Linked DNA regions of Bombyx mori. The protein of the gene in region 1 binds, or shares a complex with, the protein of each later gene. Links are inferred from orthologs where the notes say so. Each region holds a gene or a part of one and is shown on either strand. Other genes may lie near its edges.

What was found. Proteins that work in one complex are often made in the same cells at the same time.
Region 2: eIF3i (region 1) and eukaryotic translation initiation factor 3 subunit E share a complex: the UniProt entries of both Homo sapiens proteins name them as parts of the eukaryotic translation initiation factor 3 (eIF-3) complex. The link is inferred for Bombyx mori from reciprocal best matches to the Homo sapiens genes EIF3I and EIF3E.

Annotation. Positions count from the first base shown.
Region 1 is NC_085121.1:5,014,305-5,025,273, forward strand, and holds eIF3i (eukaryotic translation initiation factor 3 subunit I), read right to left. Parts: upstream 7,014-10,969; 5' UTR 6,938-7,013; coding exon 6,935-6,937; intron 6,810-6,934; coding exon 6,583-6,809; intron 6,473-6,582; coding exon 6,340-6,472; intron 5,648-6,339; coding exon 5,480-5,647; intron 5,347-5,479; coding exon 4,888-5,346; 3' UTR 4,687-4,887; downstream 1-4,686. Other genes in the region: serine/threonine protein phosphatase 6, read left to right, coding at 526-690, 951-1,096, 1,419-1,560, 2,136-2,290, 3,221-3,333, 4,013-4,203. UniProt on the Homo sapiens protein: Component of the eukaryotic translation initiation factor 3 (eIF-3) complex, which is required for several steps in the initiation of protein synthesis.
Region 2 is NC_085111.1:12,352,023-12,362,891, forward strand, and holds the end of eukaryotic translation initiation factor 3 subunit E, read right to left. Parts: exon of another isoform or gene 10,798-10,869; coding exon of another isoform or gene 10,611-10,797; intron 9,704-10,610; coding exon of another isoform or gene 8,703-9,703; exon of another isoform or gene 8,610-8,702; intron 8,579-8,609; coding exon 8,337-8,578; intron 8,015-8,336; coding exon 7,880-8,014; intron 7,788-7,879; coding exon 7,593-7,787; intron 5,519-7,592; coding exon 5,284-5,518; coding exon of another isoform or gene 5,137-5,283; exon of another isoform or gene 4,962-5,136; intron 4,634-4,961; coding exon 4,607-4,633; 3' UTR 4,533-4,606; downstream 1-4,532. Other genes in the region: large ribosomal subunit protein mL53, read left to right, coding at 359-486, 947-1,107; uncharacterized protein LOC134198937, read left to right, coding at 1,116-1,292; zinc finger protein 280B, read left to right, coding at 8,703-9,703, 10,611-10,797. UniProt on the Homo sapiens protein: Component of the eukaryotic translation initiation factor 3 (eIF-3) complex, which is required for several steps in the initiation of protein synthesis.

The DNA of each region.
Region 1 (10,969 bases):
TCTTTATAGTTTTAAACGTGTAGTGATGGTCGTTTACTGTTTAGCATCTGTAAAAGGACACAATTGTGGGAAAATGAAACAAGGCCGCTAGACATAACTTCTAAGGATCTCCAAAAAATTCAATAAATGACCACTATTTTGTAGAGCCTTTAAGTAATTCTGTATAGAATTCTATATATCTAATTAATTCTATATAGAATTAATTAAAGGCTCTACAAATGAGATAATATTATCTCGTTTCATTTCTTAATTGATTAACGGCTCAAATTAATCAAGTTATTTCCTTTTGCTCCATGTCATTTTTCATAAAACATAATTTACAAAAGATTAGACAGTATGGTGTTACATCTTCGCCTTTCCAATTAGAAAAACGGAACAGAGAACTGCCACTTTTGCATGTCTGTCACTGTCAACCAGTCTAAGGCAATTCATTTACCTCTAGTTCGGATTTATGCATTTAATATAAATTAAGGTTAAAAGGCCATTCTTCGTTTATCCGTAAATATATTTTAATTTGTTTTAGAAATGACGGATATAGATAAATGGATAGAAGTTGCAAAGAGATGCAAATACCTCCCGGAAGATGACCTACGGGAACTGTGCAATATAGTTTGTGATTTGTTACTTGAAGAACCTAATGTTCAGCCGGTACAGACACCTGTGACGGTTTGTGGTGATATTCATGGACAGGTAAGCTGCCTGATCCAACTGAAACATTTAAAATTACATCGGAAAACTAACCAGCTTATTCTCTTGTGACTTTACAACTTAAATCATTTAAAAAAGTTTGTTGGATAAAACCATCAGTTAATTTTCTAAATTACTGCAACTAATAAATTGTAAATTCAATTATAAGTATAAGAATAATAATAATGAAATGTTTAGTAATGAAATGTCTAAGAGCTCCTGTAGAAAAACTATATTTCAAAATGTAATTTCAATATTTTCAGTTCTATGATTTAGAGGAGCTTTTTCACATAGGTGGTCAAGTGCCATATACAAAATACATATTTATGGGAGATTATGTGGATCGAGGATATTATAGTTTAGAAACACTAACCTTGCTCATGGCCTTGAAAGCTAGATATCCAGATAGGTGAGTTGTACTTTAAAAAATTTAAAGTATTAAGTCAAAGATATGGATGAAAAAATACATATTGCTGTTACGTAATTATATCAATTATTATTAATATCAATTATCATTATATCAATATTGATTGAGGTTATATGAAATCAATAAATTTCCCCATTAATCAGAATAAGTTTTTTCATAATATACAAATAAAGGTAACTCCAGATAATAAGTATTTATGGATGCAAAATTAATATTGTTTTTTTTTGTCAATATTATTTCGTTGATACACATTGCCTTTCAACATCTTGTTTAATAATATTTATATTCAAATCTTCTTATTCAGGATAATCTTATTAAGGGGTAATCATGAAACATGTCAAATAACTAAGGTTTATGGATTTTATGATGAATGTCTCAATAAATATGGAAATGCAAATGCATGGAAAGACTGTTGCAGAGTTTTTGATTTGCTCACTGTTGCTGCAGTAAGTGGACATTGAATAAATATTATCTAAAATAAAAATATAAATTAGCTTAAAATTTTAGTTATAAAGCTTATTTCTTAAGAATAAATTGGGATTATGGTTCATGTTTGTCATAGTTTTATGGCTGAAAACTTCAGACAATTTTGCAATTTTAACGAAGTCAATAACATTTTCAACAATAAAATGATGGTATCAATTTTTCTAATGATATAAGTACTGAACACATGTGTCCAAGTGACTTCCATGATGGAGGATTACTAATTTGTAATAAAAATTGAACCAACTAGGTATGTACTAAGTATAATTTGTATAATTAATTTAGGTAGGGCATCTTGTTAACCGGCACAGGTAGATATCATTATCGCGCTTATTTCTAAGATGAAGCAGGCATTGTACTGCAAAACAGAGTTAGAACTTTGTCTCGAGGTGGGGGATAAGATTGGCTTTTGTTCATGTTTACAGACTAGTAACCACTTAATAATAGGTGGGCCGTAAACTCCTTTATCTATATAAGCAATAAAAAAATTAAATTAGATTATGTTACAACAAATCATTTAAGTCAGCAACTTTTACAGTTAATTGATGAAACCGTCCTATGTGTGCACGGTGGTCTATCACCAGAAATATCTATGATTGATCAAATAAGATGCATTGATAGAAATCAACAAATTCCACACAAAGGTGCATTCTGTGATTTGTTGTGGTCAGATCCTGCTGATGTGAAAATGTGGTGAGTATGTAGCTAATGCTGATGTAGAGTATATGAAAGATGTAGAATGTAGGCTCTGGGTAAGACATTGTCTGGTTTCACTCATCCTCACTAATTAAAAGTACTTTTACGGTTTAATCTTGTGTTTTGTATAATTATTACAGTCAAAACCGTTTACTGCGACATCGTTTAATACAACATGCCGGTTATAATAACCAAGAACAAAGGTCCCGGCTGAATGCCATATGACCGCCTTATTAAAAATATTGCTTTCTACGACATACCTCATAAAACGACCACATTTAACTAATATTTCGGAGAATTAGATCTGTTAGAACGACCGGCTAAGCTGTATTGTAAACAATTTGAATAGGTATCCACATTTGTCTTCAATGGCTTTTAAAATCACGAAAGAAAACAATAGGATTTAGTTTAGTGTAGGGTCTTTTCTAATTCTTAGAAACAAAACACGTGCATGCGGTAGTCAAAGTCCGCTTCTTCATATTTCTTCAGTTAGTTTGTTACTTATCTATACACAAGACGCACCAAAACTTTGTGGAGTTATTCATGAAACTTTAAAAATGTCACAAAAAAAAAGAAAACAAATTAATATTGAAGAAAAATCGCGTATTATGTAAATATATTTTTCCAATAATTCCCTATCGATTTATTTGTACTTGCGCGATACACATTAAACATCACCGGTTGTTACGACTATCGGTTTTTACGACTGAATATGAGCAGTCCCTTCGATGTCGTTATAACAGATTTTGACTGTATATTATTTCTAATATTTCTAATACTTTATAGTGTTTGTGGTCCAAACTAGGTCACTTTGTGTACTAAGTGTCAGTATGATCATGATAAGATTTAGTGTTTTAATTGTGGAGAACCCAGATCCAAATGATTATAAAAAAAAACATGTAATAATACATTTTTTTTAATGTACAGGTCAGTAAGTCCTCGTGGAGCTGGATGGTTGTTTGGCTGTCAGGTTACAGAACTCTTCATGAATTACAATGATTTAACTCTTATATGCAGGGCACATCAATTAGTGAATGATGGTGTGTATTTTTAGTGTTTTATTTTATTAAGTGTTCAAATTAAAACTTAGTGTACATAAGAAAACCATTCCACTACCATAAGATAAACTCTCAAAACATCACAAATCCATCAGAAATATTATAATATCTCGTAAATCTTCTCACGTCAGGTCATGTCATAAGATGAGTTTACATTCGAACTACAGACTACACAATCCGAAGGCTCACCATCATTGAATTAGCAGTAGTGCCACTCTTTTTAAATTGCTAGTTTGAATTAAATATCAAGCACTGAAGTCTACTCGTGCCAATCCAACTATGCCAATGTTTAAATCTGCAGACTTATCAGCCAAATATATAGTAACTCATGCTTACAAATAATTTTCGCAATGAAGGATTAATACTGGGTAATAAAAATCAAATCTACAAAAACTAGAATTTCAAAAATGTAATTGAAATTACTATGTAATGAAAACTTGGACCTCATGTCTCAAGATGGGTAGCAATAGTCACATATCTATGAGATCCAGTAACCACCAAATGCCAGATGCGCCAGGAATTCATTTCATTATGCTAGAAAAAATAAAAACTCAATATTGTAATAATGTTTTTTTAATGTAATCAGGTATATAGCTTTGTTGGGTAAATGTAATATCTTCACACATTTTAAGATTCTATTTAACCTAATACTTTTCTGCAGGTTATAAATACATGTTTGACAAAAGATTAGTAACAGTCTGGTCGGCGCCTAACTACTGTTACCGATGTGGTAATGTTGCCTCAATCTTGGAATTCAACACTGTTCATGATAGAACAGCAAGGTTATTCCAAGCAGTGCCTGACACCGAACGAGAAGTTCCTCCACAGCATACTACTCCATATTTCCTTTGAGCTGAGATTATGTGATCAAAGTATTCCATAAGTGTAAAGTTTTGTATTAATAAATGTTGCATCTATTACAATTTTTTTGTTTATTGACCCACTTTTATGTTCTTTATTATGAGATCTGTTCTTTTTGACATATTACTATAATTTTTTTAAATCTTCATTATTTATACCTTCGTTTTTTATATTTATATATTTAATTTTACCTTTTATTATTAAATATGTACCATCATGAAATAGTCTGTTGAAAATGAATAATGGGATTAACAGAATATATTACAAACTAGCTTTCTGCTGCATTACATATCACATGGGTGGAAGAGATCCATGCTCAGCAGTGGAATGAAAGGCATCCCAGTTTTTTAAAGGTTAAACTATTTCCATACAATGTTTCAATATATATGCAGTGAAAATCCTTTCAATAGATTCAGAAATATGTGACAAATGTGGGTGAACAGACAAATGGTGACCAATTCTAAAAATGTCCAGTTTATGTTCTATTACTGTTCTTTAATTATTATTTTTCTACTTATATAAAATTTCCTAAATGTATAGACGTACTGAATTAATTGTTTTATTATATATGTAGATTGATAAAGTGGCATGCATTTAAATAAATGATATACAAAAAACTTTAATGAGGCTTTATTTTCTTATAATTTTATGAAACACTAGAGTATTGCAAATTAACTACTCCCTATTGTAATCGAAAGTGTAGTCAAAGTAAGATTGATCAAAGTTATGAACACGAACATAACCATCTTCACCTCCGGAAGCATAGGACTTTCCATCTGGATGGAAAGCCAAACTGTTGATAGGACCAAAGTGACCTTTCACTCGGCCAAACTCCTCTTCAAATACTAAGTGGAAGAAACGAGCATCGAATTTACCCTGTCTGGTTGATGTGGTTGTCACTTCCATAGCATCTTGACCACCACCAAGTACAACATGATCAAGGATTGGACTGAGAGCAGCAGAATTTACAGGTCTCTCTGTCTTGTATTCTTTAAGAAGTTCTAATGAGTTAGTGTCAAATAACTTAGCAGTATGATCCTTGGAAGCAGTTACAAACATTGTGCCGTCACGAGAAAGTTGCATATCGGTGATTTGGTGGGTATGCTCTTTAACAGAGTGGATTTTTTTACCAGTCTGAAAAATAATTAGATATCATTAGCACTATTTAAAAATAAACAGAATAATTTCTATGAAAGATAATTTTTTTGCATGGAGAAAGTAGATAATATTTGAATTTACTTAGTCTATTGAATAATTATTTGCATACCCTCAGATCCCATTGTATAAGGTCACCAGCTTCATGACCAGTGATAATTGTCTCATCTAAAGAACCCCAAATCATTGAAGTAACCTTTGAATCTGTGATTTCCCATTTTAAAATAGGAGCTTGACCTGACACTGTTTCATCAATTGTTCTTGTATCAATAACGAACACCTGTAAATTGACATAATACTTTATATCTTAATTGTTATCACAGGATATACAAAATTATAATACTAGTTAGTAAAAACTTACTGTATATGTATATAGGAAACACATTAAGGGTTAAAATAGAGATTCCCAAGAGTTGATATTGTCTACCTAAGCACACTATAATTTAACCGACTCCAAAGTTTCAGTTCAGTTTGAAAAAGGGTATTTCCTGCTCAAAATATTTTGTGATTTAAGTTAAAGGGTATTAAATTTACAAGTGAGCCTTTCGGTAATAATAAATTTTAAATGTCTGGAGCATAATAAAAAAAAACAAAGTGAAATGTCAGCATAAATGACACTTGTACTGTCAACAAATCTTAGTTTAAAGAAATACAAGGTATGTAGGAATTACTCTTGAATACTAAGTTGTAATCATTAATTGACGGATATGTTAAAGAACAAAAAATAAGATTTTTTTTAAGGCATGGCCCTCAATAAACCACTTTGAAGTGAAGCAGACAAGTTCACATTGTGGTTTAATAGAGAATGAAAGTTCTGAAACGGAAACAACTATAATAATATTTATGCTTAGCTTTGCATACAATTTTACTTTTCTTCTAATGTTAAAGTTGCCAGTCATAATATCCATTAGTCTTTCTCATCCTCAATTCATGTTTCTCTATTTAAATAAAATGTATATACTATGTAATTACCTCACAAGGGTGTCCCATAGCTTTGTCAGTGGTATAAGCAGCTTGATATGCACTATAGCTGAAGTTGCATGTTCTTACAGAAGAGTTGGATTTGAGTGTTGCAATATTCTTGCCTGTCTCCAGATCCCATAACCTGTGCATCGTTTAGTGTTATCAACAGCCTACTCATCTTTGAGCAAACAACATGAAAAAAGAATGCAATTTTCAACACTTTATTTGTTTATAATATACTGAGGATAATACCTGCAGGAACTGTCGCCACCACCTGTGATGAGATTAATTGACTGCCAGTCGACGTCAAGGCACCATATTACACCACCGTGGCCGTTGAAAGTGCCAAGACGTTCGCCGTTCAGTGACCACCAAACATTTGGTTTTGAATCTTTAGCGGCGGAGAAGAGCAAGTCACCCTCGCGGTTATATTTGATCTGTGTGATGGCACGCTGGTGCCCTTGCAGCATAAGAGGTTTCTGGAATTACATGAGTAAGTAATTTACCTAATTTATAGTCATAGCTATGTTTGTGATTGAATTTGTTTGATATTTCACACAATAACTTTGGAGGCATTAAAATTTTGTATAAGAGTGTTATTTACCATGTTTAGAAAGTATTTTATTTAATAGTTTATTATAAATCACAATAAAAACGATGTGGTGACATGTGGCAGGCGGCGGACCTTTTGACAGAAGATTTTTTTTTCTTAATTTTTATTTAGCCTTCGCTTGGCGCATAGTTGAGCTCTATAGCCTATGGTAAATTTTTATAGGATGTTATGACCTGGTAACTAAGACCTTTAGGTCATGTCTTATTTTAATTTATATTCTTATTTTTATGAAAAATGATAATATGGAGTGAAATGAAATGAAATTAAATTAAATGAGATGAGATGATATGGGATGAAATATAATCTCAGTAAAATGGTGTCATTTACTAAGATTTTTTCAGTGGACTTTTTGGAGGATCCCGTATTGCTACGTCTAGCGGCTTTGTTTCATTTTCCCACATTTGTGCACTTTCGCAGATATTAAACAGTTAATAAACCACCGTTATTACACACTGAAACCTGAAGAAACACTAAATAGAGAAAATAAAACCAATCACACAACTTCACTCCTCGCGTTCCCGCCAAAAAGTCCATACATTTAATTTAGTTACAATCATAGATTATACACTTAATATTTGAGAATTACAATAAAATTCTGGTCGTACGTGCACGTGTTGTACATCAAAAATTCTTCGCTCTGAATCTAGTTTTTATTGAAGCTAGCACCTCTTTTTTTTCTCTTTTCTTTTTTCCTACCTATGGTATATCCTTGCTATAGCCTTGAAAAGCTATTTCAGCTTCATCCTAACATATAGGTGAGCTCACGGGGATCAAACCGGAAGTGTTGCTAACACTGGCCCTAGCAAGAGCAGTGCTTCGCAGAATCTACCACCGGATCGGAAACGCAACCCACTGAGAAGCTCCGACGAGAAACTCAGTGGGCTGTGTCTATGGGCTAATTCACTCGTCGAGCCCATCGTCGCAAGCGACGGGTTCAACGAGGATGGTGACCGGTTCTAGCACCAAAATACAGTCCACGCTCTAAAAATAATGCACCCACAGTCCAAAGTTAGGTTTGAAATATGTCCACTTGCAAGATTTCTTGAAATGTTCGCTAGTACAATTCGGGTTGATCGATACTGTGATCTCCAAACATTCTCAAAGCTAACCCCGATGTTTCCAGGAAATAACTGATTTTTCGTTTGACGCTATAAAAGACGGATAAAAAATAAAACATTTTCAACAATATTTGACATACATTTTATTTTCTTAAATTAATAACCATTGATTTCCAAGAGTACAACTAAAAAACAAATTAAAGTACAAACACGTTATGCGTTGCTAACTAAACACAACTGTAGGTAACTTCTCTTGGCAAACCAGTACACTGTTTTTGACTAACATCCGGCGCACCACTCGAACGAGACAAACGAGAGACAAAACTCACAATCAATAGTCACTACGCACTTAACTTGGTCGTATAACAAACAGCCTTTATTAATCCATCGAGAATAGTACAGCAATCAGCAACTAATGTGATTTGCTACGTACAAACATAGAACCTTATGGTATTCATAATACTTAAAATTATTTCTACGTTCTGAAAGCAATAAGTCTTGAAATTGAGCGAGCTCAACCAAACATGTGAAATACAGCACACTCTCTACCACATTGAATTCTCGTGCAAAACAATATTTGATACGTTTCTAGTTATTGAGGCACTTACGATGTTATTATTTGTTAAACTAATAAAGTGAAACGACTGTATTTAAATTTGCTTTATAATAGTGTGTATATCAATACATTATAATGAATACGTTACACATAAAAGAGTAAAGCTAAACACGTTTGCGTGTTCATAACGTAAACAGATCGTTTTGATTCAAATGTAACTTGTAGAATTTATTATTACGTGGATACTTAGAATTCAAACATCTGTGAGATACTTAATTACATACAACAATCGCTCAATGTTCCAAATACCTGGTACAGCTTCACACTCGTCTTCATAACTATTTAATGTCTAACGTACACAAATATCAATCTTCCGTTTACCCGAAAGAAATTGAAACGCTATTTTTTTATACACAACAAACCTTATCCTACAAATGTGAAATATATTTCTCTTATGGACTGTAAAGAAATTGTGAAATGCATTAAGTTTTTGTTACACCCTTATAAATAGATTAACATTATAATGTTTGTTACATTACTATATCAGTCAAAATATTTTCGAGTTAGATATTATCTACGGATCGGCTTTCAAACGAATTCTTTTATAGACTCCGAATTATGTATATTAGTTTTGTTTAATTGACAGTGTTGTTATTGTCGTGTGTCGAACGAATGCACGAATACGTGCCCTTCTAATTTGAAAACCGATCACCACCTTGAAGATTCTCTGTGGCATCGAGATCTACTGTAATATAGTATTCAGAAAACACAAAACAACGCGGCAAACATAAGCAAATCAAATACTCATAATACGGCTTCTGTCAGTCAAATTTGTTACTAAATTTCAAAATAGAATATTAAAACGCTACGTTTTTTAAAAAAAAATTGAACGGGCGAAAAGCAACGAAAAGTGAGTGTGGCCATTTTTCTGGTCGAAGCATAACTTTAATAATATTTACATTGTAAACGTATTAGCCTCAGGAGGCTCCTCGTGTATTTATCTAATTAGGTACTCGCCAGTAATGCGCCAATTTCATTGTTTATTTACTAACAATACTATCCTTTGTACAACGCCAATAACATCCTTACGAATCTAGTTCCCTTTTAACACTGCCGTTAGTTTCATCTTAACAATACGTTATGCTAATAACAAAATAAGTGTCAATATTACTTAAATTATCATTTACATACACAATATTAATAGAACGATGCACAATTCGCGATTACATTTTATAATTTACGATTTTTTGTTTTTACACGTTTAAAAATCTATAAAGGCATCTTTACCTCAGACTTTAGATTTGACACCGTCGTTTTGATGGTGTTGTTTATGTACTAATTTTTTTTATTAAGTTAGATAAAATTGAATAAATAAATAAAGACACCCAATTGTCGCAAAGTATTCGCATAGTGAGACCGAATAAAGGCGAGCGCTCACGGGCCGTGGTTGCGTATCGCGAAACGCGCGTATCTTCGAACGGTCTAGATCCGACATACTATCACTGAATATTATCACAATTAACTAATAATTTCACCAACGACGTCAACTTATATTTATCTAAATTAAAATACAACAAAATTAATTGAAAAAAAAACTACTTAGGCATTTGATGGCAGTTTCGTAACTGGTTGTTTTAATATTTTCACAAACTAAATTAATAAAAATGTACAAAACATTATTATCGACTAATACTTAACTAATGGTAACACGATGAGGAACGGACGTGTATCGCTCATTCAGGTAACAGAATCATTTTACTTACAATTTGTGTTCTCGCGAGAGTTCAAGATTCAGCTTGTGTGCTTTGTCGATGCTAAATTTAAGAGAGCGCATTACACTGTTATTTTGAGACCAAAAAACCTGGCAAACATGCTTTTGTTTTTTATTATTATTCCAATAAATTTTAAGCGACTGCAAGAATCATTGAATTAAACAAGCTTGTTTGATTTGTTTTATAAGCTATGACTTTGAGTTGGATCGTAAAGGACATGATTTAATTTCACAATTAAGCTAAACACTTTTTGATATTCTCACATCAAACATTGTTAGTCCTTTTTATAAAAGTATGAAATTTATTTTAAAGAATAATGTTCAACAAATTGCGATTTCACGCATATATTGTATAAAAAATCCGATAGACCTCCATTTTGACTGCAAAGGCGTATTAAGACCTATTCAACTAGAACCTAAGTCCTTAGAACGAACTTTTTGGTTGTCACTTAATTTACAACGAGACGAATTCGCCTCCTACACCTAATGGTAACTGTTCACCGTTGCTGGAACGTTTATTACATATTTAACATTACATTACAATACGAGAGTTAACAATACACGGCAAATAAATTTAATTACGATAGGCAGTGATTACTGACAGTGTTAATATTAAGTCTTTAAAACGATGTTAGATGAAT
Region 2 (10,869 bases), on another chromosome or scaffold:
TATATGCCTACAACCTTGTCTACTCAAATCTAAGGAGATCGGTAACCTACAAGCTAAAGATTGGATTTATAGTAAAAAATTGGAACTGAATTGAATGTTTTCTTAAGTGTTGCTTTAAAACGCTTAACCCTTAAGCGTTTTAAAGCAACATAAAACAAAGCAAATAGCAAATAACTTTACCAAAATACAGTAAATATTATGATTATGCGGTAACTGATGAATGAACTGCTGAAGTCACGCCTGCTTTGTTTTGTTTTTAAGACTGATTAAAAACTACTATAATAAATGAGAAATTGTTGGAGCGGAACTTATGCATGTGTGCTATTTATTTAAGTCTCATTCGAGCTGTAATTTTCAGGAATTTTGCTCATTACATCAGTGCACCTAAAATAGCAATCACAAATCCCAATTGCTCTGTGAAGACCGAAGTGTTGTGTGACAGGAGTGAGCCAACAGTAGAAATAACACTCTTGCCTGCAATTGCAGGTATTTCTTATTTTATTTATCAGTTCTTCTCTTCCAGCTTACCAAAATTCAATCCATTTTACTATAAATGTACAGGTTCAAATCTTGGTATTTACATCTATTTGCAGTTTAACAATCATACAGTATATAAATTATTATTGAAGAAACACATTCTCAAGAAATTAGAATGGGAAGTAGACTTCAAAGTATATAATTTGATTGAATTTACCCATGTCACATACAATTGCAAATTGTAACTGCAATAGTGAATTGTGTCGGAACCATACTGCATCTTTTAATTTTCTGATATTCTCAAGATACAATTGTTCTAATTTAAGTGCATCTGTTAAATAATGTGTATGACAATGAAACATTCCAAAATATTATGGCACAAGCCAGCAATCAACACTATAAATGTATCTGCACACTAAATTATTTACTTATTTAATTATTATTTTATTTTATATTTATTTTGTTTCAGCAACTGCAAAAATACAGAAAGTGACTTTAAGAAGTGAGAATCTTACTTGTCTTGAAATTCTCCAATTATTGAATAAGCACATTTCTTCTTTAGCACCTGTAGAACTACCACCAACTACACTACAAACTAAGTCAGATAAAAAGAAGACAAAAACAAAATAAAAGCAGAGATGGCAAAACCTAAAGGAAACCTAGATGTCATTGAAGAAATATATCGTCAAATACCAGCATTTACTGATGTATTCTCAGAAGACACATTTTATGTTTTTGTTACGTTTTTTGTGTTGTCTACAATTTTAGTTGCCTTTGTTTTGTCCAGGTTCATTACCATAAAACCTGTAGAATAGATTGTAACCTTTAAATTAAAGTATAATGATTTATTAAAAAATTTCACTCTATTAATCCTGTCCCTATATAATGAAAAGGGAATTTTAAAATTATATCATTGTATGTATTACCTACTTGTTTTGTATTGCATTTGAAGGCTGAAGGTGATATTAATATGGCCCTTTTTTTTTCCTACCTAAGCTTATAGCCTTAGGGGCTATTTCAGTGTAACCCTAACGTTTGTAGGTGAGCTCACGGGGCTCAAACCTGATGACGTTGCTAACACGAACCCTAGCAAGAGTCGTGCTTCGCAGAATCTACCACCGGATCGGAAACGCGACCCACTGAGGAGATCCGGCGAGAACCTCAGTGGGCTGTGTCTGAGAGTTAATTTACTCGTAGAGCCCTTCGTCGCAAGTGACGGGTTCGACGAGAACGGTGACCGGTGCTTGAAGTACCTAAAAGCACCGTTAGTGGATCGGGAGGATCCGAGATGACGTGTTTTGGGCGACGTCGACTGCTTTCCATTCTGTCCGCAGGATCGGGAATGTAGTTACCGGCGGCCACGATGAGAGGGTTCTCGTGTCGTGCCGCTTTATCGAAGTGGCGCATCGACGCCGACTGAAGATACTTACTGATGGACTCTAAGTCCAGGTCGTCATGGAGGTCGACGTTCCTGACGAACCACGGGGTTCCGACGGCTATCCTGCAAAAACGGGATTGAATAATTTGGAAGGATTTTAAGTGAGTGCGGGCCGTGTGAGCGAACACTACACTTGCATAGGTCATGACGGGGCGTATGCAAGTTTTGTAGAGTGTCACTTTATTTCTAAGGGAATATGGCCCACTGAAAGGTGAACCAATTTTTTTTTTTTGTTGCCCTTGTAGGCAGACGATCATACGGCCCACCTGATGGTGAGTGGTTACCGTCGCCCATGGACTTCAGCAATGCCAGGGGCAGAGCCAAGCCGCTGCCTACCGCTTAATACTCTCCACAAGCCTCGTTTGAAGAAGGACATGTCATAGCGCTCGGGAAACACCGTGGAGGGGAGCTCATTCCATAGCCGGATACGGTACGTGGCAAAAAAGCTCTCTGGAAACGCACTGTGGATGACCGCAGTGGCTCCAGGTAGTACGGATGAACTCTACTCCGGTGGCGGGCGGTGCGATGGTAAAAACGAGATGCCGGTATCATCTCGAACAATTCCTCAGAGCACTCCCCATGGAACATACGGTACAAAAAACAGAGGAAACCGAAGTCCCTCCGCAGACCCAGAGGTTCCAAACGATCCGTGAGAATGGGATTATCGACAATCCGAACGGCCCTCCTCTGTATGGAGTCAAATGGAAGAAGCTGGTATTTGGGAGCCCAGCCCAGAGATGGGAGCAGTACTCCACGCGAGGCCGGACTTGTGTTTTATAAAGCAGAAGCCTTTGTCCAGGCGTGAAGTACCGCTTCGCTCTGTTGAGGACTCCCAGCATTTTGGACGCCAACTTGGCTTTGCCTTACAAATTACTCCGAAACTGGACATCGCTCGAAATGTCGACCCCAAGTATCCCAATACTCTCGGAAGGTTGCAGGGATACTCCTTGGAATTGCGGCGCCATGACAAAGGGGTCCTTCTTCGCAGTGAACGCGCAAACTTGTGTCGTTATCGGGTTGAATTGAACCAAGTTCAATTCACCCCATTCGGAGACTCGCCCCAGAGAGTTCTCCACTTCAGACACAAGTTTTGATCGTCTCTCTTGCACCACGCTCCGAGAGAGACTCTGATGGCCGATATATCGCGCATCCCCCGTGCTGTCATCCGCATAGCAATGCATGCCATCAATAAACAGCATGTCATTGATCTACAGGATGAAAAGCGTGGGGGAGAGCACCGAACCTTGTGGAACGCCAGCGTTAATGGTCATGGTATCAGAACAGTCACCGTCTACAACGACCGTGATGCTCCGCCCATCCAAAAAGCTAGCGATCCACTTGCAGAGACCCTCGGGGATTCCGTAAGATGGTAGCTTCGACAGAAGTGCCCTATGCCAGACCCTGTCGAAGGCCTTCGCGATATCAAGGCTCACAGCAAGAGCCTCGCCCTTGCTCTCCAAGGCTTCAGCCCACCTGTGAGTAAGGTATACAAGAAGATCGCCAGCTGAGCGACCGTGACGGAAACCGTACTGTCGGTCACTGATCAGCTGGCGATCTTCAAGATACTTCAGGAGTTGTATATTTATAATTCGCTCCATCACCTTGGAAAGCAAGGAAGTTATCGCGATAGGCCTATAGCTCGATGGGTCCGACCGGTCACCCTTCTTGGGGATAGGGTGGACGTGGGCGTTCTTCCATGAAGACGGAACCCTGTTAGTGCAATAAGAGAGGCGATACAAACGCGTTAGCGCAGGCGTCAGCTCAGGGGCGCACCTTTTCAGAACCACAGCAGGGATGCCGTCCGGCCCACTCGACTTATGGACGTCCAGGAGTCGGAGTTCCCGCCTGACTGCTCACTGTGTAAAGCAGATCTCCGGCATGGAACTGTCACACCGGGGGATGTTCGGTGGTGTGGCACCCCCGTCGTCCACAGTCGAGTTCGAGGCGAAGAGTTTGACCAGAAGGTCAGCCTTCTCTTTCGCACTATGGGCCAGACTGTCATCGGACTTGCGTAGTGGTGGGAGACTAGACCTGCAGAAGTTACCTTCTGCAGCCTTAGCGAGCGACCAGAAAGCACGGCTCCTGGCGGGATAGCTCTTCAGTCGCTCGCCAATTCTGGCAACGTGCTCCGACTTCGCCCTGGCAATAGCCCTCTTATAGGACCTAGAAGCGGCGTTAAATTTCCGCCTTTCCTCAGAGATATTAGGATCCTGGCGTCTCCTGGCATCATTCCATGCCGCGTATGCGGACCGCTTGAGGCGTGCAGCGTCCCGACTGGCATTGTTATACCAGGGTCCACTGCGACCCCCGACGGGCACCTCGGAAGAAGGAATGAACAGTTCCATCCCCCGAAGCACCACGTTTTTAAGTCGGTCCGCACAGACGTCAGGATCACCAGAGGAAAATATATGGTGAATATATGACTGAGGAAATATGATGAATGGTCACCACTACTTATGGATATCCATTATGATATAGAGATACCATCAATGTCAAAGACACAGACAAGATACTGCCTATTGTTGAAGAATCTTAAACTGAATGTGATCACTTATCATCAGGAGACTTATAAAGTGAATGAAACATAATGGTTTATTTCAAATAATACACTAAAACTATACAAATCTGTTTAATTTGTTTTAATTATGTCATTATCTTGAAGTAAAAAAGCTTCAAGTAGCGTTTTTTCAATTAAAACTCTTGAGCACCCCAACGTATCTGAAAAATAAAGATCAAAAATTATATTTTTCAACACTTTAAAAGGAACAGCAACATGTAGTTGTATTATAACTGTTCCCGAAGCTGAAAGTGGAATAAATGATAAACCTTAAATTAATTACTAAGCATACACACACTTAGTAAGTATTTTATCATATTCATAAATAAGTACAAATATAGTGAAGCCACAACGTAAGGAAAAATTGTAAGTGCCCACATGTTTTCTCATCCCACATCAATGAATGCAATAAAAACAGCAATAATATTTATTTATTGCGTGATTAATTGAAACTATGTACTACCTATTGACATTATTTTTTGCGAATGGCTTTTTTTAATTTTAATTCGTGTTTTTAACATATTCAAATATGAGAATGAGGCCACGGCTCACCTAGCGTTGAGTGGTTACTGGCGACCCATAGGTATCAACATGTGAAGACCTCCACCCACCATAAAACAGAGATTTGAATCTGAATTGTATAGTACTACTGCTGTCCCACCAATTAAGCTGAAGAGCATGACTGCTTCACGGTAAAAATAGACACCGCATGGGAGAGTATTTTATGGTTGCACGGATAAATACCACCATAGGGCATAAGGTTCCAATACATCAGGAATATTTTAATTATAACATAATTTTTTTTACTCACATCTTGATTGCGTGCTTTATGTTTCCTTTCCACTAATGAAGTCAGAGCTTCGGATCTCACTGCCAGTGAATCGATTCTCTCAACTAATTGTTGATATGGCGAAAGAGGTTGTGCACCCATCACCACGTGACCTAACTTGGAATCGATCTTCGCGTCCAGGCGCGCATTACGGATTAAGTTCACGATCCAGCATTCCGCTTCATCAGGCTGCATGTTTAAGTTCTCGGCTAACATTCTGTAAAAAAATTTAAACTTTCTCTCATCACATTGATACATTATATCAAAATAATTTTCAGCCCACAGCCGTCCACCGCCGGACATACTACCCTGTCAAGAAAGTACCAGGAAAAGATCAAAAATACACAAAATGTTAATTATTCGTCCAAATTTATTGTATCATCTTCAAAGTATGCTCTTTTAGAAACGATACACTTACGCCAACGAATAATCTAATCATAAAAATATTTGAGTTTAGGAAAAAGAAAGTGCTAGGCCATATCTGGTGGATAAGGTGGTTGCTTCAAGCATTTGTTGAGTTTTTGGTCAAAATTTCGTTCACAATGATGGCCTTGTCCGAAGGCGCAGTATTGTGATGCAAAATCCAAGAATTTTCTATCCACAAATCTTACATCTGGGTACGCATCGACTAGTGAGACACAGAAAGTTTGGCGGCTATATCTCTCAAACTTGAATGAGGATGCTCTGGTCATTATTTCCTTCACTTTTGCGATGTTAACTTCAATTGCTGACGTTCCTGGTCATTTTTTTTATGATTGAAGGATTACTGGTGGCCCGGAGGCCTTTCCAGTTTCACCAGGACAGGTGGGCGAGCAAAGGCTCAGCCAGGAGGGGTGGGATTTACTAACAGCTACCCGAGCGCCTCCGAAGGAGACCTAACAGCTCAAGAGTAGCTGCTTCGCGAATGAATCTACTACCGGATCGGAATCGCGACCCGCTGAGAAGATCCGGCTAGAAACTCAGCGAGCTGATTCATGGGTTAGGTTGCACGGCGAACTCTTTGTCGAGTTCGACGAGTACGGTTACCGAGGTCCCTAAGCCTGCTCCTAGTGTTAAAGCTGAAGGCGTCTAATGTAAAGGTTATTGGATCTGATGGATCCGTAAGGACGTGTCTAGAACGTCGACGGTGACTGGCTCCTGCGTGATCAGGATTCGGGGAGTAATCAGCGGCGGCAACGATAAGGCGATTATCATGACGGTTCCTGGTCTACCCGAGTGAGGCAAATCTTCCATCACAACTCCACCGATTTTGAACAATTTTTATCATTCTTATGCACGCGTTTTGGACAAAGTTGATTTACCATAAGCTTTCGAGAGGTAACATTTTCAGTGACTCCGAAAATGAAATTTGATTGGCGATGCAAAATTTAAGACAAACTCTTTGTTCGATGCTTTTGTTCATAATGAAATTCGCAATACTCACTGGATATAATTAAAAACAGCACTGTATAGTATATCCACTAAGTATAGTAGATTAAATTATGTAGGTAGCATATTATGCTACTCAAACTCCGCGCCAAAATCGAAAACAGTTGTGCCAATCTTATAAAAAAAAGTAGGGAGTTTGGAACTTTTTTTCCTTTTCCCTTTTCGCTGGTGGCCTAAGAGGCTATTCCAACTACGCCCGGACAGATAGGTGAGCTCGCGGGCTCAACCTACGAGAATTTGCTAACACTAGTTAGCAGTAGAGCAGTGCTTCTCAGAATCTACCACCGGATCGGAATCGCGAACCACTGAGAAGATCGGGCGAGAAACTCGGTGGATGGTGTCTATGGGTTAGTTCGCTCGTACTCTTCGTCGTAATAGACAAGTTTAACGAGCACAGTGACCGGTGCTTGAGGGTCCTAAAAGCACCGAGAGTGAATCCGGGGGATCCGACAAGACATGTTTCGGGCGACGGCGGTTTTCCGTTGCTCTGTCGCAGTCGGATAAATAATTAACGGCGGCCACGATAAGAGGGTTTCGTGGCGCGCCGCTTGTAGAAGTAGCGTTCAGTTTGAAACCAAATACAATTCCCGATACTTTTTTGACTGAATGTAGGCCTTTTCCAATTTACGTAATTACAATTCTAATTTATTTACCTCAATGAAATTGCAAATATACACCTAACTTATTAATATTGAGCTTCAGTGCTTGTAATATAAAAATAGAACCACTTTTATTTCCACGTGCACACGACACCAACTGCATCTAAATATGAATGTGTCAGTGATTATGGTCATATCTTAACCAGTGTGCGAACACTAGTTAGTGTACATAAAAACGTTAACAGAGTAAACGTTCACACTTACCCAATACTAATGACTTGATGAATACGGCAGAAAGTTTCAAAGATCATCAGTCGAGCATTTTCGACAAACTCTTCCAAACAGGCGATTAAGAAAAAGTCAGTCAAAAGTACAGCTTGGCATTGATTCAATTTTCGACGGGCCGCTTCAAAGTCAAAATTAACGTAAAGATGTTCAATGAACTCTGTGATAGGATCTCTGAAAAATAATATATATTTTTATTTCGTATTTGCGATAAACACAAACATAAAAAAGTGTCATCATATATCTTAAAAAAAAATTTAAAGCACCTATAGGTGTAAGCTTCTTGTTGAATAACTTTCACAAGGTCCTTCAAGGCATTTCTGCGAGACCTGTTTATGATTACTGCAGTAGCCAAGTAGCGGAGGATGTGGGGACACATCGTCTGGATGGCGTTCAAGTACCTGTAATACGATAATACATATTATGATACCTTTTAAAATAATATAACTGATTCGGTTGGGGTCGCGGTTAGTGACCATTATTTCAGTACCTCGGGTCCCGGTTAGATTTTCCGTCTGAGTTAAGGTCTCTTTTGCAATTGGATCGCCTTTGGTTTCATTACCACTCGGGCTTTGGAATGTAGAATATACATATAACTAAGTTAATGTAACAACATATTTTTAATTGATAATTATTCTTTTCATTGCCTATTATGTTGCCATATTAGAGACTCGAAATTTTTCATAAAATCTGAAGATAAACATTCCAAAATGTAAAACTTACAAAGGCTTATACAGGAACATTTCGATGATCAAATCACGTCCTTTGACATGATTGAAGAACACGAATAGCGACCAGTGAACCAGCCAGGTCCGTTGCTGTAGGGCTTGCATGTTGCTGGCAGTGGAACCGGCTCCACCGTTATCGATGAACTCTCGAAGTTTGGTTAGATCATCGAGCGCGCCATCCCAATTTTGTACCAAAATTTCGCTAGCCAATTTACCCCAAAGAACCGACAAATAATTCTGAAAACAATATATTCGTTGTTTACCTTGCTAATTATTATTTATGATAGATTCTCTTTGGTGTCTACAATGTTATTTTCTTTCTCAATGACATAATGTACTTAAAGGTGACATTTGAAATTAAATGCAAGTTTATATCGAAATGCCATGTACAAAGTTAATAATACGAAAACACGAAGAATCGAAAAACTGTAAAAGTTTGCAAATTTTAATAGACGATGACGAACATTCAGCAAATGTGCATTTTGGAAAATGGGCGGATGGGACAGTTGATACTAACAAGAGTACCAAATCACCATGTCTTATTGTGAAGATAGTTTCCACCTTTGAATCAGATCTACTTAATTTAGAATCTAGTGCTAAGCTGCTAGAACCCGATAAAGTGAACGAATATTTAGACACTAACACTGATTGCCGCTTGAATAATAACAATCGAATCATACATCAAAATGATAGTAATGAATTTACTGAAAAACATATCAATAACGTTCCCAAAGATTACATCAACCCCTTACAGTACAGTCTTGATAGAGTGAATGAGAATAATGCCCGAATTATGGAAAATATTAAAATATTAAATAGAACATTGGATTTGACTAAAAGTCAAGAGATTTTAGATACAATATACACGAGATCTTTGAGACATCCTTACTACCGTGGGTCAAATTATATCCATGAAGCAGGAATAAAAAAACATTTTAACTGCCAACATTTAACAACAGAATGCAAGACACAACAGCGTTGGCAAATCGTTTGGACTTGCATTCAATGTTTTCAAGTATGGCCTCGTCGAGATCAAGCAATTGAACATCCTGGTGATAGTTGTAATCCAAAAGATATTGAGGGCATTCGAGAAATTAAAACCTCGTCACTATTACAATGCGAGTTTTGCGAAAAAGTATTTACAAGTATTCCAAGACTTTTGACTCATAGCAAATTGCACTCTGTCGTAAACAATTACGAATGCACTACTTGTAGTTTAACATTTAAATCATATAAAACTAACGAGCAACATTGGCTGGTGTGCCCGTGGTTGAAAATATACAGTTTTGAATTGCCTAAATTTTTGTTGTGCAACATTTGCGACCGTAAATTCAAGAATTACGATCAACTCTACAATCACAGGTGAAATTCTCTTCGCATTTTTCTTATCTTATAGGTGCCTTCAATTCGATTTCCATTCAAGGCAGATATCATACAATGGTAATGGTCCAATGGTAAGTGCTTACTGTCGCTCGTACACCTTTGCCTACTGCTAAGGGCTCTTTTCAAAACTCATCCGACGATGAGGATATAAAATTTCAAAAAACACCACGGAAGCGAATTCTTTCTAGAAATGGATTTACAAGGCAAGCTCTTGAAACGCAGTGGTAGTGGCAGTTACATAGTGGTAGTGGTAGTAGGAGTGTACTCTACTTCAGAAATGGTACTGATGACTGACATCTGCTGCATATAAAGTATGGTATAGATCACAGGGGGAACCAACCTCTATTCGAAGAAGAGAAGTCAACAAACACTCTGAACGCTTCTCTCTCCTCTTATGAAGCCAAAGAAAAATAGTACATACGGATCAAAGTTGGGTTGTGGTAGGCTACGCGAGGTCGAACCTGTGCTTTATTTAGGCGCTTAAGTTTTTATTAAGGAGTGAATTACAGCCTTATTCTAGTAAGGAATCATAAACAAGAATGGACACTCTGTCGTTAGTTTGAGTTTGATTTACGGAGATTTACTTTTTTTTTCTTTTTTTTATTGCTTAGATGGGTGGACGAGCTCACACCCCACCTGGTGTTAAGTGGTTATGTCTAAGTTCTAAGGTCTCAGTATAGTTACAACGGCTGCCCCACCCTTCAAACCGAAACGCATTACTGCTTCACGGCAGAAATAGGTAGCGCGGTGGTACCTACTCGTGCGGATTCACAAGAGGTCCTACCACCAGAAGACTTACTACTTAAAGCTTGTAAGCATCACACACTAAGATTATGTGCATGAAATAAGATGGAACTCTGTAATTAAATTAATAAAATATTTGCAGATATAAAGCTGAACATTTCATGCTGAAAATCATTCAAGATATTAAAACCGATGAGCCAATGATAAAAGCGTCTATCAGTATTTTAGCTCATCAATGTGAGCTATGTGGTCTTTGGTATAACGCCCTTTCAGAAGTAAAAGCCCACAGAACACAAGTTCACCAACAGTTTGATGCTATAGTTTATTAATATGCAATTTCCCTAAATGCTAGTTGTTACTTGCAATAAATTGTATTTTTTTTACTTACAAATAGATGTAGT